Diceros bicornis minor: one gene and its partners. The protein of the gene in region 1 interacts with the protein of each later gene in a biochemical or structural test. Links are inferred from orthologs where the notes say so. Each region holds a gene or a part of one and is shown in the gene's direction. Other genes may lie near its edges.

Region 1 (7,558 bases):
TCCTCGCACTGGGCTCCCGTGTACCCGGACACTGTAACGTGTGCTGTGTTTGCTCTCCTCCCTCCTCCCTCGCCCTCCCCTTGTCGTTCTGGGGGTTTTCTGTTTGGGTTTGGTTTGGTTTTTATTTCTCCTTTTGTGTTCCAAACATTGAGGTTCTCTCTACTGGTCCTCTTAACTGTGGTGTTGAGGCTTATATTTGTGTAATTTTTGGTGGGTGAAAGGAACTTTGCTAAGTAAATCTCTTCTGTGTTTGAACTGGTCTGTATTGTAACCATGTTTAAAGTAATTGTTCCAGAGACAAATGCTTCTAGACACCTTTTCTTTACAAACAAAAGAATTCGGAGGGAGGGGATGGTGACCAAGATGAGAGGGGCTGTCCTTTTTCCCCAGGAGGGGAGATCTGAAGATGACCCCTGCCCCAATCAGCCCAAAGCCACCAGAAGAAGTGAAGCCCAAGCCGACGGACCGAATAGCTGATGTGTTACCATTTTCAAAGTCAGAGCAAAACCAGGTTTTGTTCCACCTTGTGGATTCTTTTGCCTTTTTTTCACCCCTGTGATGATTAGCATCATCGCTATTTTTAAGGACTCACAAGGTTGAGGTTCCTGCAAGGGGAGCCAGGGCGGGGTGTGAGCAGAGCCGACCTCGCCTCCGTGGGAGGAGGATGGAGTGGGCCTGAGCCATGTGGCTCAAAGGGTGGGCATCTCCCTGGAGGCCTCCACTGTGGCCACAGGTCACATATATCTTGACAGGGCAGATTGGCCACTCTCCACCTGACACAGCTCTTCCTGGACAGGACAGGCGGTGGGCATTACGGTCTAGGACACCTCCATCACATCCCACCCTGTCTGCAGTGCACAACGCTCATGTGACCTCTTGATCCCACCATCAGGGCAGTAAGATAACGGTGGAGGAGGTGCGCTCTCTTTGCTGTCATCTAATCCCCAGCAAAATTTGGATGTGAGAAAGCCCTTTCCCTTTCCATGCCAAAACCAGATCCTTCTCAGAAAAGCTGTTACCCCCACCAGACATTGTTTTGGGCTCACGCAACAGGGACAAATGTGTGCTCCCTTAGTGCCCAGTGGCACCTCCTCTGAAAGGCGAGGACAGTGCTGACTGTAGTGACCATTTGTACATGGGGTTCAGTAGCAGAAAGACCCAGGCAGGGTGGCTGTCCCCTCCAGAGTCGCAGTGACAACAGGCCGCCCTGTGCAGAGGGAGCCGGCTCCAGCCCGGAAGCCTGGCTGACTGTGGGAGAGGTGTGCACGGGGCGCTGGGAGCCGCCCAGGACAGACTTGGCTGGAGATGTCTCGAAAAGCCCTCTATTGATCGCATTCACCTTCAGTTTTTGTGTTTTGGGACAATTACTTTAGAAAATAAGTAGGTCGTTTTAAAAACAAAAAATATTGATTGCTTTTTTGTAGTGTTCAAAAAAAGGTTCTTTGTGTATAGCCAAATGACTGAAAGCACTGATATATTTAAAAACAAAGGCAATTTATTAAGGAAATTTGTACCATTTCAGTAAACCTGTCTGAATGTACCTGTATACGTTTCAAAACACCCCCCACTGAATCCCTGTAACCTATTTATTATATAAAGAGTTTGCCTTATAAATTTACATAAAAATGTCCGTTTGTGTCTTTTGTTGTAAAATCAAGTGATTTTTTTCATAAGGTTCTTTTACTATTTGAAAAGATGGGCAGCACGCAGTTTTATTTTATTTTTGTAAGTTTTTTAATACGTGTGAAAGCAAAGAATACTCAGCATGCCTTTCTAAGTGATGCGTTTGCACCTTTTGTTGGGAAGTACTGTATCCTGTGCTGTTAGCATTCTTGATAAATCTCTCTGTGAAAGTGACTCAAGGTCTGGGCTTTCATTATCAGACAGCTCATAGGACAGCATGGTGGTGTGTTTCCTGATTCAGTCTGGCTGTCCCTAAACACAAATAGCCAGCCGCTTTCAGGACTGCTGTGCGAGGGAAGGGCAGCCTACTCCATGCACCACCTCCCCTTGGGTGCTCCAAGGCCACACTTTCCGGGCACACTGCTCCTGCGTGTGATGGAAAGTTCTGGGGCAGCAGGCCGGGAAGGGCCAGGCACGAGTCTGCCCGCCATGCCCTAGGTTGAGAGGGCAGGCAGGCTGCAGGCCTTCTGCACAGCAGCACAACCTCCCTGTTCCTGAGGGACATGGCAGGGGTGCCTACTCGGTCTGGATATGTCTGGATATGCCGAGGTGCTTTTGGAAACCACCACCACCACCACCCGCCCCGCCCCCCAGCTCCAGCTCCAGCTCCTCTTGTGCCTATCGCCCAAGACGCTCCTATGGCCTCTGCTGACCTGGCTCCCTGCCCAAAGGGGGCGCTATTGTCATTGTGGGGTTTGCAGGCCTTATCACACCCTGCCCACGCTCCCTGGCTTCCCGCAAGGCTCTGGGCTCTCAGGAGCTGCCTGTCCCGCCACAGCCATCCTCACCAGGCTGTTGCTGGGCTGGAGGGGGTGACAACTGCTCAGAGTCCAGCTTCACATGCAAATGTGGACACACCTACTAGAAGGTGCACTTGAAAGTCCTGGCCTTGAACATTAAAACAAAGGGTTGAAATTCGACCTGTGTGTATTGAGCATCTCTTGTGTGTCAGGCCTGTCCTGGGAGCTGCAGTCCAGCAGTGAGCAAGTAGGACCAAGTCTCTTGTTTTCTTGGAGCTTAGTATGTACATGCATGATAACTTCCCATACCCGGGTTGGTAGTCTCAGTAAGGGCTGTCCCTGCGATAAGCCACTGAGGCTTAGGGCATGGCTGGCCTCCTCTTTGGGAGTGGCCAGCAGTGGCTGTGACTTCTGGGAAGAGGCTCCAATGGAGGCCTGTCTTAGGCAGACCCAGTTTCCAGAAACTCCCCTAAGTCCCAGGGAGAACAGCTTAGGGGGGAACCCTTTGGGGTCAGAATTGAGAGGGCAAGGGGGGGCCATCAGGGAAGGTGACCTGTTGCCCTGCAAGCATGCATCCAGCTGGAGAATCTACTTCTGGGGTCTTCCCCTGTGTAGTGGGGGAGGCAGGCAAGTGCACAGGCTCAAGAAGGATGCATGAGAGATGCCAGAGGGGCCCAGGGAATTTTCACCCTGGCTTACACCTGGGGAGCTGTTTGAGCTCAACCTTGTCACATGAGGGCCAGGAAACTGCACGTGCAAACTCCTGGATGTGGGAGCACTGGCACATCTGTGGAACCCTAATGAGTTCTAGATGGCTTAAGGCTGCTGACGTGTGCAGAGAGCTAGACATGACATGGGTGGGCAGTGGCCAAATTCTGACGGCATGGAGTCTGCACTAAAGAGCTGGGACCCCACCGGAGGCCTTTGGGAACCACAGGAAGGTCTTGAGCAGGAAAGTCATGTAGCTTGATTTGTCCCTGAGGAAGACCACCCAGGCAGACAAGGCAGGGAAGCATCAGGAAGCCAGCAGTTTCATCCAGGTAAGTGGTAGTAGTGAGAGCAGCGGGCCTGTGGGGAAGAGATGGACTCCAGAGATGTTCAGGGAGATGACAGGCAAATAGTGGCTGCTGATGTGGGGCCGGGGAATGGAGGAGTGCCAGAAAATCTGAAGAAATCAATGGCTGCGGAGCACTGTGGGAATGGGCAAGAGAGAAATGGAGGAAGATGTGGAACAGGCTGGGAACTGAGTTTGGTGCCTGGTGACTGCTTCAGAAAAGAGGGAGGAAGAGGCCGGCCTCTGCTGTCCTCACAGGGTCCCGTGCAAACTGAGCCAGAAGTATGACAACAAGAGGGAGGAGGGACAGCAGGAGCTGAAGGCCCGTTTTTAAGAGAGATGAATACGTTTTATGTGCTAGTGGGAAGGAGCCAGCAAAGAAGGAAAAGTGACAGATACTGCAAAGAGCTAACAATTGCTGGAGCAGGTTCCTGAAGGAGAGGAAAAGATGGGATCCAGGGCTCAGGAGGTGGGCAGAAATCCTCTGAGCGGGGGTGGCCTGCTGTACAAGCTTCCAGACCATTCTCCCTGCACCCAGCCTGACAGCCAGCTGACGGGAGTCGGCCGGGGGCCTTTGTGGGACCCACATCTGACCCCGTCCTGCCTGGCTCTCTGACGACTCTCCACTGCCTCCCAAAGAAAGCCAAAACTTCTTAAGGGGACCTCCCAGCGACTCTCACAAGGCCCGGCTCTAGCCCTTTCGGGAACGTCCCGTGCCTTGGCCGTGCCCTTTGTCCTCAGGGCTGGGAACGGCTTTCCTCCATGCCTCAGAGCCCCACTCGGACGGGCCCTCCTCCTGGAAGCCCGCCGCGCCCGCCTCGCCGGGCCCAGCGGCGCTGCCTTCTCGGGGAGGGACAGCGCGCGGCGCCCCCGTGTGGCCGAGGCTCGCGGCGGCCGCGGCCGCGGCGGACAAGATGGCGGCGGGCCCGGGCACCGCCCCTTCCGCCTCGCCGGGCGTCGCACGAGGCCGGCTTAAAGGGGAAGTGAGTCAGTGTCCGCGGACCGGGGCCGAGGCCCGCGCCCGCCGCCGCCCCGAGAGGCCCCAAGAGGCCCTGGCCCGGCGGCGGCGGCCATGGCCGGGGGGCCGGGCCCAGGGGACCCCGCGGTCCCCGGCGGCCAGCACTTCTTGTACGAGGTGCCGCCCTGGGTCATGTGCCGCTTCTACAAAGTGATGGACGCCCTGGAGCCCGCCGACTGGTGCCAGTTCGGTGGGTGGCGGCGGGCCGGCGAGGGCGGGACGGGGGGCGCTCGGGCCCCGGGCCCCCAGGCCTGACGCCCCCCACCCCGCAGCCGCCCTGATCGTGCGCGACCAGACCGAGCTGCGGCTGTGTGAGCGCTCCGAGCAGCGCACGGCCAGCGTCCTGTGGCCCTGGATCAACCGCAACGCCCGCGTGGCCGACCTCGTGCGCATCCTCACGCACCTGCAGTTGCTCCGGGCTCGGGACATCATCACGGCCTGTGAGCACGCAGCACCGGGACCCCCTGGCTGAGGGCCGCCCTGGGCCTCCCATGGGGCTCCTCCCCCCGCCTGGGCCTAACCGTCCTTTCCTTCCTTGGCGTCCCAGGGCACCCTCCCGCCCCCCACCTGCCCCCCAGCACCACCGCCCTGAAGCCCAGCAGCATCGCTGCACCCTCTGAGGCTGAGGCTCCCAGCCCCCGGAAGTTGCAGTCGTCAGCCTCCACCCTCCCCTCCCCAGGTAAGAGGGCCCGGGTGTTGGGCTTGATGGACCTGAGGAAATGGCCACCTTGACCATGGCCACGGCTGAACACTCTGCCACCGGTCTCTGCCTGCCACTCACTGGTGTCTTTATGAAGCTTTTCCAGGCTCCCAGACCCATTCTGGGTCTGAACTTGGCCCTGTCCCAAGCCCTGCTGCCCTCCGGCCACCACCACCATCTCCAGCCCCTTCCTCTACCAAGGTAGGTGGGTCCTGCCCCTGGGAAAGGTTCCAGAGAAGGAGCAAGAAACCTAGCCTTTGGTACATCTAGGATCCCCAACCAGCCCAGCTGAGGCAGCTGGCGAGGGGGTGGGGTTGCTTGTGGCAGGGACCCAGGGGAGGAGACAGGTCCTCACCTGATCTGGAGTCTCTTCCCACAGCCGAGCCCAGACAGCCAGGTGTTCCTCCTGCAGGGGGCCCACCCCTCTCCGTTCTGCTGGCCCCTCCATGAGATTTCCCAGGGCACTCACAACTTCTCAGAAGAGCTGAAGATCGGGGAGGGTGGCTTTGGGTGTGTGTACCGGGCTGTGATGAGGAACACGGTGTACGCTGTGAAGAGGCTGAAGGAGGTGGGTGGAGCATCTCAACAAAGGCCCTGGAGGGCCAGCAACAGACCCACACTTTTCTGGTCCTCCCCCACTGCTTCCCCATGCAGCTCCTTCAGCCCTTTGATTCCCCGGGTCAGGGTCCCCAGTCCCTTGGTTGTTCTGGGCCCAGGACAGATGGCCGTGGGTGTGGCCATCAATCCTTGGCTGTGAGAGTCTCATGCCGCTCCCCTACGGTTTTCCCTGGGGGCTGCAGGAGGCAGACCTGGAGTGGACCACCGTGAAGCAGAGCTTCCTGACCGAAGTAGAGCAGCTGTCACGGTGAGCCTGGGGCATCCTTCCTGGCTGGGGGCAGAGGGAGAGCCACACCAGGGCCCCACTGGCATCCAGGACCACACACCACAGGACCTGGCTCCCTCAGGCCCCCAAAGCCTGCCACACCCAGCCTAGCTGAGGAACCACCAGGGACTACCCACCCCCACAATGGCCAAATGGAAGGTGTGGTGGAGGCTGGGCGCCAGAGGGCTCAGGCCCCACTTTTTCAAGCAGGTTTCGTCACCCAAACATCGTTGACTTTGCTGGCTACTGTGCTCAGAGTGGCTTCTACTGCCTTGTCTATGGCTTCCTGCCCAACGGCTCCCTGGAAGACCGCCTCCACTTCCAGGTAGCCTTACCTGGCGTGGCACGCTTCCCTGGACCCACAGCACTCTTGGCACCTAGGCGAAGCAGGGCACGGGGACTGGGCTTTCAGCCTGTGTGAGTAGGTCCCACCAACAGGCAGGGCCTGGGCTCAGGGTTTGGCCCAAGTGGGTCACTGTTTTCCCTGGAACTCTTTCCCATGGCCTCTCCCTTGCTGTTCCTGCGTGCCCAAGAGGCAGGGCCATGGTGCCTCTAAAAAGGGGGTTATTGACTCAGAGTAGCCTGACTCCAACAACTTCTCCCCTTTGCAAGCAGAGTAGCTGGAGGCTCTTGTCATCATCGCCTTGGAGAAAAGGGGCCAGTGGGCAGCAGCAACTGGGCCCTGTCTATTGAAGCGTGCACAAGACACGGGGCAAGAGCGTCCTTGCCCTCGTGTTTAAGCGCTCAGGATAAGCACACTGTGTTGGGGGAGGTGGGGAGAAAGCCTCCCATGACATCCTGATCGCCCCGGGACCAATGAATGGACTCCAGGAATTCAGGACTGCCAAATTCTGTGATGGCTCCTGAAAGTACATTCCCTCGGCATGCTTTACAAAGCATCAGAATGGCTCAGTCTCGACCCTCTTATGAAGTAGCTCATGGAGATTTTATTCCTCATTTTCCAGAAGGGGAAACTGAGGCCAAGAGAGTGAAGTGGCTTGTCCAGACCCCGTGGTGACAGGTAGAGGGAGGGTTGGGGGTCAAGGAACGGTGGCCCCCCAGCCTCCCCTGTGCCCCTTGCTCCCTCTGCCACTCCAGACCCAGGCCTGCCCCCCTCTCTCCTGGCCTCAGCGACTGGACATCCTTCTGGGCACGGCTCGGGCAATTCAGTTTTTACATCAGGACAGCCCCAGCCTCATCCATGGAGACGTCAAGAGGTGAGGAGGGGCCATAGCCAGGCCCCTGGGGCCCCTGAGAACTGCAGGAGCAGAGTCTACGGCAAGGGGATGATGTTCCCAAACCTTCTGCCGGCAGGGAGCAGAGGCGCCTGTTTGCCAAGGCCTGGTGTCTGGTCCCAAGGAGCCCCGTCCTGAGTGACCCCCATGAGAATAGGCCTACCCTCTCCTGCTCGAGGCTGAGGTGGGGGACATCAGAGTTGGGGGCCCCAGGTCACTGAGTACCTGGCATGGGACAGGTGTAG
Region 2 (7,204 bases), on another chromosome or scaffold:
TTTCTGTGGTCTTTGTTTGTATCAGGTTTAAAGGTAAATTTGGAATTTTCTTTCTTTGCATCCAAATATTTAAAAAAGCCAAATGCTTCTTCTTCGGATACCAAGTGACAGAGTTCTTCATATTCAAGATTTGGTTTTACAACAATTTCACTGTTTTTTCCTACAGTTATTAAGAAAGGAAACTTCTGCCTAATAGCACTATGCAAAATAGCCCTCTGGTTTTTGTCAAGGATTCTGCCTAATGAGAATTCAGGAGACGGTCCAATTAGCTCAGTTTTAGAATTCCACTTCTCTTTTGTATCACAGGCAAACTGATTCAGTAATTCATTAGTTTTTTCATCTAACAAGGAGCTTATTACATCAACTTTTTCTTCTTCATCTTTGGAAGCTCCATCCTTGATAGTATCTTCCTTTTCCGAACTAGACTGATGATTCTGGTCATCATCGGAGCACCCAGCTAAAGTATCAACTTCTTGACTGCTTCCCTCTTCAAAGGATAAATTTTGAAGATCTAGTTTTGATTTTTTCGCAAAATTATTTGACTCAGGTGGCACTTTACTAATCTTGTAAACAGGTTCATCAGTGGCCTTATTAACTAACTGTCCTTGTTCATCAATCTCAATGACAACGAAGTCACTTGGTGAGCTTTTTATAGTGCCACGAAAGCCAACATGATCAGTAATGAAACACAAAGAACTAAACCTGATTCTAAAATCTATATCCTCTTCCATTCTTAAATAACAACGCCTACAAAAGAAACAGAGAGGCGGTCAGTTACCAGACAGAAAAGTTGTGGATAACAAAAAAGAAACAAATTTGCAGGATTTATCTAATTCTCTTCCTCCCCATCAATTCTGAGACCCCTTAAAAGACATTAATAATTTAATATATCATGTGTATTTTGACTATCCTGTACCAAGATGAATTAACAGGCAAATTTTTTTCTGGTATAACTGGTGATTTGCAACTTGACTCTACCCGCTCAAGGCTCCCATCTATTATGCAGGATTAAAATGTTTCAAGTTTACATTAAAAATACCATTTGTAGGCCCACAAAGAAGAGACTAGAACACAGGACTGTTTACAAGGATTTGTCTAAACACCACTTCTGAAACTTAAAATTCGCAGCTAATTCCAGAGAATTTGTGGCTAGATTTTTATATATTAGGGGTTAGGGATGGGAGAAGGGATGAGGAGAAGACAGGAAGAAATAGTCCAAACTGATATATAAACGAAGTTGTAAATACCAACTGGTAATACAAATATGCTTCAAGGTGGGCTTAAGTTAATCCTGGACCTTCAGCCTCCTTGAAAGCCCAGTTACAAACTTTCACAGATACAATCTTTTGAGGTTGACCCAAAGGAAAATTCCAATCATATCACTGGCATCAGAGAGAAGAAACCCTTACAGATCTTGGCGAAGCAGTAGACAAGAGAATAATCCTCTGAGGAAGCTTTCACTCATTCTTTGCATAACCCATGGCTACCACACCAGACGAAGCTACAGGAAAGATAAAATGACCAGGGGCCCCATACTACTCAGTTCTTTGTGTTAACCACACTCTGCAGGTTATTATCATCTGGACCTTCATCCCATTTCTACAGTGTATTCTACCAATCTGAACCAATTTAGCAAACCCACCTCTATCCTTTCTATTATACCATGTAGAAATCACAGCAAATTTTCCATATCCTACTGTCCTAAAGAATATATAAGGATATATTGTTTTCCTTCATTCCTTAATTTCCCTTACAGTCTCCTCAGTTTCTTGCCCTAATTGAAATCTGGCTATTTCCCCAGGCTGCCTCTTCTGCAGTCCTCTCAAGCAAAGGCTATTTTTCCTTTCACACTCACCAAACTTAGGACCTGGAGGTTGCAAATATTTTCTATATCTGCCACTGCTTCTTCCAAACCATTTCTTCCTTCTCTACCTCCCAAAATCTCAGTTCCTTTGAAGTTCATGCCATCAGGCCCTACCATCTGCTGTCATTCCTTCTCTGGTCCCTGGATGACTCTTCTTCATTCACTGATGATTTTAACACCTGGTTCACTGCTTTCCTATTCAGCATGACTTCCATGACCATCCATATGGATCATCCATTTAACACTGTGCTCCCTCAGTTCCTCAATCTCAACCTCAACCCGCTTCCACTTCACCTTGGTCATAGTTTGATTTTCTCATCACTAAAAACTACATCAACTTGAAGCATCAGTCTGGCTCTCAGATTACTCCTGCTGTGCTTTCATCACTCTACTTTAGTACTTCCAGAATTTCTGAAATATTGTGAAGGCCTCTAACCTCTGCTTCTAGCACTAGTCCACTATAGTCCATTCTCCACTTAGCAGCCAGAATGATGATTTAAAAGGTAAACTAAATCATATCATAACTGTGTTTAAAACTCTCTAATTACGTTTATAATAAAATCCAAATTACTTACCTTGGCTTCCAAAGACTTCTAAGATTCTGGACTTTGTTCCCCAAATTTATCTTGTACTCGTTCCCATTACCCACTACACTCCAGCTACACTGGTCTTCTTCAGTTCCTTTGTGTTAACTGTTCCTGATGATTAAATCGGTCCTTCCCCAATCACATCCTCAGAGAGGTCTTCCCTGACCAATAATCTAAAGGAACCAGCAAGTCACTCTCTTTCACAAAACCCTATTTAATTTTCTGCATAGTATTTCTATCTAATAATTTTCCTCATTATTTATTGTATATCTCTCCCAGCTACAACGTTAGCTCCACAACAGCAAGAATCTTGTCTGCCTTATTCACTGATTATCTCACATTTAGAACAGTGTCAAGCACATAGCAGGCTCACAATCAATAGTGATTGTTGAATAAATGACACAACTAGTACAACATAAGAGCTGTAATGGTGAAGAGGAAGAAGGGATCACTTTTGCCTATGATAATCAGGAAAAGCGTAATGCAAGAAGAGGCCATCTAAGTCCAGAAAACGGTTCAAGAAATAGAAATGAGGTAGAGTCATATCATAAGTAACGTACAAACCAAATATGCAATGTGTTAGAGAAAACTGAACAGCCCAGATGCACAGCAGTAGGAGAAAAAGTTTTCTAGTACAGTTCTGGAAAATACAGCTGGATTAGTGCCAAACTATGTAAGACACTGAATGCCCAGTCAAAGACAGAATTCGTTGAGTGGTCAATGGATGGCCACTGGAGGTGTTCCAGTAGGAAGATGACACAATCCAAAAAGATGTTTTAGTAAGATGACTTGATGGCACTGAGCAGGATGAACGTCATGAAGAGTCAGAGGAGCTGCAAAGCAATGTGATCAAAAGCATAGTTGTAAGATTGGCCTTGGAAAGAATAATGAGCTACTCTTTCCCCAAAAAGGAGGCGATATAAAGACATTCTAAGCTGGTGGAATACGTAGAACAACTTGGGGAGGAAGCAACGACGAGGGAATTACAACCAAACATCTTAGTGCGAGTGGGACCGAGCTGGAGGGCCGCCAAGGGACCCACGTGGAGTTAAGCATGAAAGTGCCGTGTTCCTAAGCAACAGATTCGTTGATGAGGGGATAGGACGGAGAGCGGGAGCGTAGTTTGGCTGACCCAAGGACAGCCAATTGTTGGTTGAGGACAAATTCTGGGAAGATGTTAGAAATGGAGGAAGGGGGCGCCTTTGCCCTCATGCTCTTCCTTCACCAATGCTCCGCCGAACTCACTCCTACTACTCCCTATTTCTGCCATCAGTCCGCGGAACCCGTCTCCCGCGGCGCTGCCTTCTGGCGCGTCCACAAGCACCCCCAGACACCGACCGCCAGCAGCGCCACTTGCTTCTTCTCCCGGCCCCACGCCCCGCCTGTCCCAAGGCGCGATACTAGCCCACGTCGCCCTCCTTCTGGGGGCATAGGGTCGGGGTCCCAATGCCAACCTTGTCATCAAACCCCACAGCGCGCAAGAAGCTCAACTCGGTCTACCTCACGTCCAGGTGAAGACATTCCTCTGCACAACGCTGTGCGCATGCCCGGAAGCCTTAAACTAGTTGGCCTCCGACCGAGGCGTATTTAAAGGGGCAGGCTCCCACTTAAAGAAACGCCTCACGCGAGACCTGGTATTTTTCACATTGTGGAGCCGCCTGGAGGCGCAAAGAGGAAGAGGAAGGCGGGGCGGGGGCGGGGCCTGAGGGCTGGCCACGCCCCTGTCCGGCCCTTCCCCGTGCGCTGGTGCCTCAGCGGCTGGCTTCTCCCGGCGGCGCCCCGCCCGCCCCCCGTGCCTCGCCCCTGGACAGGTGAGGGATTCCGGCCGTGCGCGCCGCCTTCACCGCGGGTGGTCCGAGGTCCGCGCCCCGGCCTCCGTCCCTCTGCCCCAGGGTTATTGAGGGACCGTCCCGGAAGGAAAATCGCCTTCTTATCTTCAAAGGGAGAGAAGTTCGAGAGGAAGTAGGTGGCGTGGGCAGAGCTTGCCCCGGGATAAAGACTTGGGTGGGTGCCTGGGGATCAGAAAGTGAGTGGGACCTGCGGAGGAAGCTGGGGCATGGGGAGGCGTCCCCCAGCCGTCGGTCCAGCCAGCCCCATCGGACCTCGCCTCAAGTTTCTCAACTCCCAGGCGGTGTGTTCCGAGAACCCGTTTACGAAATGAAATCTCTTTTCCTGAGAACCAGGAAGTGAGGCCAGCAGCCGGCAGAGATGCGGCGTGGAAAGCATTCTGATCCTCCACGAGACTCTAATTAGCTTGTTCTCCGGCTTCCAAGCTTCGAGGAAATTAGAAAGTGGAGAGGGGGTGTAAGGATTAGATAAATGCATTATCAGAGGGGAAAGTCTATCTGACAGCCTGGAAGCAAGAGAAGAAACAAAGGGATGAAAAGCAGACCTTGAGAAAGGGAGAAAGCATTTTAGCCATTTAGAATGGGAACAAATAGTTCTGTTAGTGCCTCAAAAACGTATGTGCCCAAGGAGCCCTGAGAGCAGAGAGTATTGAAATCTGCCTTTTCTCTTTCTGGGGATAATCCTTGAAGAGATCTGTCAGAAAGTTCCTATTTCTTTTATTCTCCTGTTTGCATGCTAAGCATTCTTTTGAAGTTTGGTTCTACCTGTCCAAACCGAGCTCCTGATCTTCCAGGCCAAACTTACTCCTTCCATAGTCTTCTCCATCTCAGTAAATGTCAGGAAACTTGTTCAGACCAAAAACTTTAGTGCCATCTCCTCACTCTTCACATCAGCACATAGGATTCTATTTGCTCTACCTCAGAAAATATCCAGCATCCTAGGACTTGGCGCCTTCTCTGGTCCAAGCCGCCAGCACCTCCTGCCTGGATTATTGGTGTGCTCTGCTAGTTGGTCGCTCTTCCTGCTTCTCTGCCCTTCCTCCAATATCCACTATTCTCTGCAGCAGCCCCAGTGTCTTTTTAAGACATAAGTATAGAGCATGTGTCTCCTCTTCTCGAAACCTCCACTGTCTTCTCATCTCATCTCATCTCACCTCATCTCATCTCATCTCACTCTTCAACATCTCACTCATAAACAAAGTCAATACAAAGGTTATAAAGACTTAGTATACCTGGCCCCATTACCTCTCATCTTATCTGCTACTTTTCTGCTCCCTCCTCTCCAGTCTTACTGTCTCTTTGCTGTTTCTCAATGGGCCCACTTCAGACCCTTGCATTTACTGTTTCTTTTGCCCAGAAACTTTTCCCACAGATATCCCAGTGGCTGGCTTTCTCATCCCTCAAACTTTTAATCAAATGACACCTTCTTATTGAGTCCTACTCTGACTACCCTATTTAAAACTGAAACCCCCTTTTCTGTTTATTTTTTTTCCATTCCAGGTGGCACCATCTAACATACTATGGAATTTATTTGTTTATTGCCTCTCTTTCTCTATTAGAATATAAGCTCTATGAGTTCAGTTATTTTTTTTCTTATTTTCCTAACGCTTTATCTCCAGGGATCAATATTTGGCACAAAGCAGAAACCCAGTAAATATTTGATGAATGAATAATATTCTTTAATATATCCAAAGCATTTTAAATTACTTGCCATTGAGTTAAATCAATGTCTAAGAGTGATGTGTTTTGTTTAATTTATGGCATACCAGCTCGTATCCCCATTTGAGAGGGGCAGCCCTATATAATTTAATAGATCTGGAAGATATCACCAGCTTTTCTTCATAGTGATGATGTTGAGTTGTCCAAAAATAAAGATTAATGGTTTTCCAGCATATTTTGCTTAAGAAAGCATCAGAGTGAATAAGGTATTTTAGGGAGGTTGTAGACGTATTGAACATATTATGCTCTATAAAGTAAGACTCCCAATATCTGAAACGCTTAGCTATAGTCTCAGACCTCTTATTTCCACTTTCTCAGTAGCCCCTCACCACTATTCTGAAAATTGAGCTTAAATACAACTCTGCACGTTTCTGTTTTTAAAATGTGACTTAAGAATAACTTCTGCCATAGAATAATCATCGCTACATTTTATTTTGATCACCTATTGTGGACAGGATTAGGCCCTTCCAGTTTGTTGATTTTAAATCTTACAGCACCTCTTAGCTGTTACCATCTCTCTTTTTCAGATGAAGAAACCAAGGTCCGGAGATACTGAATCATTGACCGTGGTCACAGGTAGTTTGTGAAAGAGATGTATTAGCATGCAGTCCCGTGCAACCTCAAAGTCCATCTCCCCTGCACCCCTGTACACTCTCTTCCTCTGATCAGAGTGATAATGAAGCACAATCTTAAAAATGTGTTAATTTACTTGAATAGAATTTTTTGAATTCCTATTTTGGGCACAGTACTTTGAGAACATGCATATGAGTGGGAAGGTGCTGGGTTCTACAAGCAGACACTGGTTTAAGTATATTTCTCAATTATTACCTTACCTTATATTCTTCTCTGAGTTGTCTTTGAAAATATCAGTGGTTTTGTCTACTATGAGAATTAATGGTATGAGAAAACAGTCATGGAGATTTTTATTTGTTTATTTGTAAGCAATAGATCCTGTTCCACTTCTATTAATCCTAAGTGCACTAAAGTAAAATTTTGAACACTTTGAAAGAGGTGACACTTTTTATGTTTTTTCTACACAAATAATTTATTTTCATTATTGAAAATGCAAAAAAGCAAATGAAAACAAAACCACCATAAAAATCACTATCAAGAGATAACCACGGTTAATATTTTGGTGTATGTTCTTCCAAATATGTGTTGGTGGTAATATATGAATGTATGTTTAA
Region 3 (7,153 bases), on another chromosome or scaffold:
TGACCCGGAGCGTCCCCAGCCCCAAGACCTTTCTTATGTGGGTCAAGGTAGGTGCCTTGGCCGGGTCTCCATGGGCCCCTCCTGAGCTTCAGGTTGCAGGGTTGCCCTTCGAGGGCCCACTGACCACTGCCGCCTCCCCACCCCCAGGGGGAGCAGGCAGACCAGGCCCGCTACTCGGTGACCCAGGTCACAGTGGAGGCCCTAGACGCTGCTGGGAGCCTGCCCCACTTCCCCGAGAGCCTGTACCGCGGCACCGTGGTGCTGGGCTCAGGAAGCGGCGAGTTCGTCAAGGACGCAGCCACCCCCTCCCAGGCTCTGAGGATCCAGGCCCAGGACCCCGAGTTCCCAGTAGGCACCGCCTGGCCCCTGGGTCTGCCTGGCCTCCCTTCTGTGGGTGGGTTGGGGGGATACGGGGGCAGCCTGGGTCCAGGACTCACTGGGGCCGTGTCCAGGACCTCAACTCGGCCATCACGTACCGAATCACCAACAACTCCGACTTCCGAATGGAAGGGGAGGCCGTGCTGGTGGCCAACCCACTGACGCAGGCGGGGGTCTTCTACGCAGAGGTGAGGGGCCTGTGGCATCTCTAAGGGGTGGGAGTTAAGGCGGGGCCTAGGTGAGACAAGCCCCCTTCCTGCCCCAGGTCGAGGCCACGAACACAGCGACTGGAGGCACAGCGACCACACTGGTGGAGATACAGGTGTCAGAACAGGAGCCCACCCCCACCCCCACAGGTGAGCCTCCAGGGGTCCCCGGTGATGGCTCGGGGGGGGCTTCTTGCCACAGGCATGCTGGGGGCAGAGGCAAGCTGAGCCCTGTGCCTGGCCCCAGACCCCCCAGGTCCTTCCACATCCCCAGAGGCTGGAGGAACAGCTGGGCCCTCAAGCAGCACCACTTCAGAAACCCCCAGGCCCTCCGGGCCCTCTCAGGGACCCTCCACGACCAGCGCTGGGGGGGACACTGGCCCACACTCCCCCCCAGGCACAACTCTGAGGCCGCCTGCCTCGACCACGCCTGGGGGGCCCCCCAGTGCGGGAACCAGCACCTCCCCTCCATCAGCCTCACCCAGCGGGGGCTCAGCACAGACTCAGAAGCCAGGAATCTCGCAGCCAACAGCCCCTGGGCTCAGCAGGACCCCCCAGCCCTCAGGTAGCACCCCCATTTGCCCTAGAGTCACCCTCATGCTCCCTGACTCATGACTTGGGTGGTCCTGGGAGTCACCGGAGGGCAGGGTCCGCCCCAGGTTGGCCCAGAATGACCATGAGATCCCAAGACGGGGTCTGCTCTTTCTGGGCAGAGACAGACAGGTCCTGGGGGCCCTGAGGAGGTAAACCGGGAAAGGTGAGTGGAGGGCAGGGCAGAGGCCACACGTTGGCTTCAGCGAACCCCACACTTCCCAGGGCCGTCCACTCCACCGGCATCAGTGCTGCCCTCATCTCCCTTCCTGTGGTGTTGGACCCCTTCCTCCCACCTGGGGCTGGGGGGCACTGACCCCCACCCCCCTCCTTCCCTTCAGCAGTCTGGCCTCCCTGGGGGACCCTGGGAATACAGCTCCTTGGGGGGGCGTCAGTACTGCCCACTCTCCAGAACCCTCACTCCGGGAGGCGGCCAGGCTGGCTTCTACTCGGGGAGTTCTGAGCTGGTACAGGCTGAGCTGGTGAGCGCTTGTAGTGCCGACAGCAAGTGGGCAGTGGTGTCACCAGCAGGCACGCCCGGGATTGGAGGAGGCAGCACCTCCACGGGGGGTGTCGGGCCGGATGGCAGCCACGCTGGGGACCGGCGCTTCTCGACAGCGGAGATGGCAGCCGTGGGCGGTGTGCTGGGCGCGCTGCTGCTGCTAGCTCTGATCGCCCTCACCATCCTCGGCTACAAGCACTACGGCCACCTATGCAAGTCCTGTGCTAGCAAAGCTCTGGTGAGGCCCCGGGCGGCTGGACAGCACAGGAGAGGGACAGACGAGAGACAGAAGAGGAGACGGATAGACAGACAGAGGTGGAGAAAGACCAAGAGACAGGGACGTGAGAGTGAGAACAGAGAGCAACGGAAAGATGGAGTGGAGGACGGAGGAAGAGGGTAGATGGAGGGAAGGGGTAGATGGAGAGAGGGGTAGATAGAGGGAGGAGCAGATGGAAGGCGCCAGGAGATGCAGGAAGGGGGGAGATGCAGGGAGCAGGGGAGGTGAAGAAGGGGGAGATAGAAGGGGAGGTGGAGAGGCAGCAGGAGACCAGGAATCAGCCATCAGTGGGGAGATGGAGAGCAGAGGTGAGGAGAGATGGGGTGTAGACACCATAGTGGGAAAGATGGAGAAAGAGCAGGGAAAGGCAGAGAAAAGGGCACGGACCAGCGCAGACCCCTGTCTCTGGGGAGGGCACCAGGGGGTTGCAGCCCAGGCAGGGTCCTGGATGACGCTCCCTCCCGTCCCTCCCCAGGAGCCCCAGCCCAGTGGCTTTGACAAGGCCTTCCTCATTCAAGACCGTGAGGCCAACTGGGCGCCGGCCCCCAGCCCCACACCCGGCCCCACCACGGACGAGGCCCCGCCCGAGCCCCCGGAGCCCGCGCCCCCCAGCCCCGTGCCCTCCGCCGGCGTCCCCGAGTCCCCCGCGGCGGCCCAGGACGGGGCCGGCCCCGCGGAGGTGAGGTCCATTCTGACCAAGGAGCGGCGGCCCGAGGGCGGCTACAAGGCCGTGTGGTTCGGCGAAGACATTGGCGCCGAGGCCGATGTGGTGGTCCTCAACGCGCCCACCTCGGAGGCGGACGGCGCGGGCGACTCGGACGGCGAGGGCGGCGGCGAGGATGAAGGCGCTGGCGCGGGCCCCGGTGCAGGCGCCCCCGACCAGGCGCCCGGCGACTCCACCTACGTCTAGCGCGACCCCCGACCGCCCGCGGGTCTGGACCCCGAGTCACTCGGCCGCTGTCCCCCACTGCACTGAGAAAAATAAAATGACACTTTCGGATCTCGGGCGAGGGGTGCCTGGGGTCTGCCCCAGAGTGGCCGCCGATTGGGGGGTCACGGCGCGGCCCATTGGCTCCCGCGCGCACGGAGTCCTCAAAGACGCGCTGCGGGTGGGGGGTAGGGGGGGGTGTTGGGGGTCGTGGGGGCGGGGAAGGGCGGGCCGTGTCGTCCCCCTGTCCCCAGCGCGGGTGCCGCTTCCCGTAAACCACCAGCTGCGCCCGCCCGGCGCAGCTTCCCACGCTCAGTGCCAGCTGGCGGCCAGAAAGTTCCTCTCCTGGTCTAACCACGGCCAGAGGAGGGGGCACCTCGCACTGCGTACTCGCCCTCCCGACTCAACACGGAGGTCTTGCCTGGAGGAGGCTGAGGCGGCACCCTCAAGGAGACTCATTTGGGAGGGCATGGTCCCTGGGACCTTCCAGGGGGTCACAGCCTGTGTGCCAGTGTGGTACGCTGGGGCAGTAAACACCAAGTGCTCCGAGCGAGGCACCCGACCCAGGCGCCCGGACTGTGCCTGCGGGGTGGCGGCCCGTTGGTGCACGGCGGAGGCTGTGGGGGAACCAGGGCCACCAAGTGGGGGACAGGGCCCCCCTCCGCCTGCTTCCTCAGGGGTGGACTTCTGCGCTGCCACCACACTGTCCCTCACGAGTCATCGGTGTTTCTCCTAATGAAAGGCATCACGAATTCCTTTCCAAATGTTTTACTCTCGAGGGCATTTACATCTTGTCTGAGCAATTCTCATGGTTAAGACACCACACGCCACATCTGCCGCTCGTTCCATGCCCCGGTTACCCGCTTTTCCATGAAAAGAAGTGCTTGGTTTTGTTTGGGGCCAGGTTTTGTTTTTGTGTTCACGGGGTCCCCAGCTTGGCCCCCTGCCTCCCCCACCCTCGTTACTGGCCGGAGCCCGCAGTCCCCCTGGTGCATGGGGTGCTTCTGGAGGAAGAGGGGTGACTGGTCCCCGCAGAGGTTGAGCCTGGGAGGCCGGCGGGACTGGCCACTCCTGTCGCCCCTCCGCGACCCGCCCTCCCCTCGGGCTGTCCCCAGACGAGGCCTGTCGCCCCCACCGAGAGACTGCACAGGGGCTCGGGGAACAGACCACATGAGTTTTTTCGCAGCACCTGGAGCTGGGAGGGCCCACCCCACTCCCGGCCCGCCCCCGGCCCGCCCTAGCCCGTCCCCCGGGCTCGCCCCATAAAAGCGCTTGTTCTCGCTCCCCCGGGGAGACGAAACTTCCCGGCCCGGCGGCTCCGGCACCCAGGTACTCGGGACTCTCCCCACGCTGAGCTCCAGGGGCAGCCACAGGGCGTGGCCGGGGGGGTGCCGAGCGAGGGACGCGCCGCCAGGGGAAGGTCGGGGAGCCGGGTCCGGAACGAGGGACTGGAGGGGGCTGGGTGGCTCGGGGACCCGGAGGCGCCCGCCACCCGGACGTCCCGCCTCGCGGCTTAGGTTTCGTTTTCCTGCGACGGCGGTTTCGGTTTCCCGGCGCCCTGGGCCGACCTCCACCTAGCCATTTCCGTCGTGTCTTCGCAGGGTCCAGCCTGCGACCAGCCAGCAGGCCTGGACGCTGGCTCAACACCTGTGACCGCACGTGTGCGCGCCCGCCGCATCTGTTGTCACACCCATCGCCACCTTTGCCCCAAAATCCATACCTGGGCAACGTTGTGGCCTATAAGCCCTCAACCCACACCTGTGACCCCATCACCTGTAACAACTGGGCCACGCTAGTGTGACGACACCTAATTGCCACCCGTGACCACAATCCCTCGCAGCTGAGGGCACTCCCAGCCTCTCCACGTCCAGTCCTTGCAGGAGCGATGGCCGTGCCTCCCGACAGGTGAGAGCCTGGCCCACGCTCCCCAGGTGCCTGTCCCCTCGCACCTTGCCGCCCGCGCCACCGACCCCGCTGGCTGCTCCGCCCGCAGGGGGTCCCCGCGCGTGCTGTTCGGAGACTGGCTTCTGGGCGAGGTCAGCAGCGGCCGCTATGAGGGGCTGCGGTGGCTGGATGCGGCCCGCACGCACTTCCGCGTCCCCTGGAAGCACTTCTCGCGGAAGGACCTGGGCGAAGCCGATTCTCGCATCTTTAAGGTGGGACCCCAGCCCCGCCCCGGGCAGAAGGGCTGGCCCAGGCCCCCGACCTGCGCCCCCAGGCCCACCCCCTCCCTCCCCTCCCCAGGCCTGGGCCGTGGCCCGTGGCAGGTGGCCGCCGAGCGGAGGTGACCCGCCGACCTCCGAGAACGCCCTCCGCGCCGGCTGGAAAACCAACTTCCGCTGCGCACTGCGCAGCACGCGGCGGTTTGTGATGCTGCAAGACAACTCTGGGGACCCCACCGACCCGCATAAGGTGTACGCGCTCAGCCCCGAGGTGGGATGGGCAGGTGAGGAACGCCGGGGGAGGGCTGCCGAACGCCGGGGGAGGGCTGCCGGCAGGGAAGCAGGACGTTCAGGGCGCGAAGGGTGTTGGAACTTGGTTTTGTCAGGGGACAACCGCTGGGTCGGATCTGCAGTTTTAGAATTTAGCCTGGGAGAGGCTGGTGCCAGGTTGTTGGGGAAGGGGGTGGGGATCACAGGGAGGAAGCTGATGGGGCCAGTGAAGGGGAGGCGCAGTCCAGCTGTAAAGTGCCACCCAGGGGTTCACACCCAGGCGTCCCACTCCGGAGTCTCAGGTCCCCATTCTCCCTCAGAAGGTCCAGGCGTTAACCAGGGGGAGGATGAGGCCCGTGAAGATGCCCCACCAACCACGGTAAGGCTGCTCTGCCCTCCTTGTCTCCTGCTGGGGCTGCCACCTCTCCCTGGTGCTGGAAGCTGCTTATGCTGCCACTGCCTTCCCCTGCAGGGCGGGCTCCTCAGGCCGGGCCTGGCAGGAGATGCTGGTGAGAGGCCGGGGCATGGGCTGGCCAGGCTGAGTCCTGAGCCCTGTGCCCTAAGCCCTCTTTCCAGCCCAGCTGGCGATGCTGAGGACCTCTTGCTCCAGGCTCTGCAGCAGAGCAGCCTGGAAGACCATCTGCTGGAAGCTACATGGGGGATGGATCCGATCCCCCCAGAAGCTCCTGGTGAGGGGCTGTCCTCTGCCAAGGGGAAGGGCAGGCAGGACAGCAAAGTCCCTGGGAAGAGGGGGAGGTGTCCAGCAGGGATGGTGCTGATCACAGCTGGGCCAGTACAGCTGTTCCCACTGTCATCCTCTTCAGGTCCAGAGCTCCCTGCCGGGCAGCCACACCTGCCATGGGCAGTGGAGGCGGCCCCCAGCCCCAGGCCCCAGCCCCAAGCCCAGATGACAGGTGAGAGGAGCCTGGGGACATGTGGAGGGAGGGGCTGGGGGACCAGGTGCTAACTCAGCCCTTCCTCCCCGATGCAGGCTTAGCCCCCAGCCCCAGAGCCCTGGTAGCCCCTACAAGAAGCAGAGCCCCGCCCTGCACCATCCCCCAGTGCCTGCCCCCCAGTGGCAGGTGAGCGAGTCCGGCCAGGCCCCACTGCTCACAGCTCCTTCTGCACACAGAACCCAGCCTGGGGGCCCTGGATGTCACCATCATGTACAAGGGCCGAACGGTGCTGCAGGAGGTGGTGGGACGCCCGAGCTGTGTGTTCCTGTACGGGCCCCCCAGCCTATCCGTGGAGGCCACAGAGCCCCAGCAAGTGGCCTTCCCCAGCCCTGCCGAGCTCCCCGACCAGAAGCAGCTTCACTACACAGAGAAGCTGCTGCAACACGTGGCCCCTGGCCTGCAGCTGGAGCTCCGGGGGCCTGGACTATGGGCCCGGCGTCTGGGCAAGTGCAAGGTCTTCTGGGAGGTGGGTGGCCCCCTGGGCTCTGCCAGTCCCTCCACCCCGGCCCGCCTGCTGCCCAGGAACTGCGACACTCCCATCTTTGACTTCGGCACCTTCTTTCGAGGTCAGTGATGCGTTCGCTCTGGGCTGCCTCCCCCCGTCCCCCAAGCCCCTGTCCCCGTCCCTACTCACAAAGCCCCTGTCCTGCAGAGCTGGTGGAGTTCCGGGCTCGCCGGCGCCAGCGCTCCCCACACTACACCATCTACCTGGCTTTTGGGCAGGACCTGTCAGCCAGGAGGCCCAAGGAGAAGAGCCTGGTCCTGGTGAAGGTGAGGTGCAGGCCCAGGGTGGGCGAGGCTGCACACAGCCCCTGCCTGGCCTGACGGCGCCCTCCCCACAGCTGGAGCCGTGGCTGTGCCGGGCGCACCTGGAGGGCGTGCA

What was found. The genes of interacting proteins can lie anywhere in the genome.
Region 2: of the proteins of IRAK1 (region 1) and IRAK4, one has a biochemical effect on the other in vitro, tested with the Homo sapiens proteins (2 studies listed by BioGRID). The link is inferred for Diceros bicornis minor from reciprocal best matches to the Homo sapiens genes IRAK1 and IRAK4.
Region 3: the proteins of IRAK1 (region 1) and IRF7 form a complex in vitro, tested with the Homo sapiens proteins (2 studies listed by BioGRID, with this or other methods). The link is inferred for Diceros bicornis minor from reciprocal best matches to the Homo sapiens genes IRAK1 and IRF7.

What each region holds. Positions count from the first base shown.
Region 1 is NC_080781.1:138,094,237-138,101,794, reverse strand, and holds the start of IRAK1 (interleukin-1 receptor-associated kinase 1), read left to right. Parts: upstream 1-4,532; 5' UTR 4,533-4,549; coding exon 4,550-4,685; intron 4,686-4,767; coding exon 4,768-4,935; intron 4,936-5,042; coding exon 5,043-5,174; intron 5,175-5,292; coding exon 5,293-5,396; intron 5,397-5,574; coding exon 5,575-5,763; intron 5,764-5,995; coding exon 5,996-6,060; intron 6,061-6,288; coding exon 6,289-6,403; intron 6,404-7,176; coding exon 7,177-7,295; intron 7,296-7,558.
Region 2 is NC_080756.1:25,385,937-25,393,140, reverse strand, and holds the start of IRAK4 (interleukin-1 receptor-associated kinase 4), read left to right. Parts: upstream 1-4,176; 5' UTR 4,177-4,262; intron 4,263-4,295; exon of another isoform or gene 4,296-4,413; intron 4,414-6,544; 5' UTR 6,545-6,593; intron 6,594-7,204. Other genes in the region: pseudouridylate synthase PUS7L, read right to left, coding at 1-747, 3,906-3,913.
Region 3 is NC_080770.1:1,366,405-1,373,557, forward strand, and holds the start of IRF7 (interferon regulatory factor 7), read left to right. Parts: upstream 1-4,125; 5' UTR 4,126-4,211; intron 4,212-4,234; exon of another isoform or gene 4,235-4,483; 5' UTR 4,484-4,767; coding exon 4,768-4,787; intron 4,788-4,875; coding exon 4,876-5,038; intron 5,039-5,126; coding exon 5,127-5,328; intron 5,329-5,634; coding exon 5,635-5,693; intron 5,694-5,786; coding exon 5,787-6,003; intron 6,004-6,138; coding exon 6,139-6,228; intron 6,229-6,446; coding exon 6,447-6,836; intron 6,837-6,922; coding exon 6,923-7,041; intron 7,042-7,112; coding exon 7,113-7,153. Other genes in the region: CDHR5 (cadherin-related family member 5), read left to right, coding at 1-47, 148-348, 453-566, 644-734, 832-1,149, 1,707-1,915, 2,430-2,864.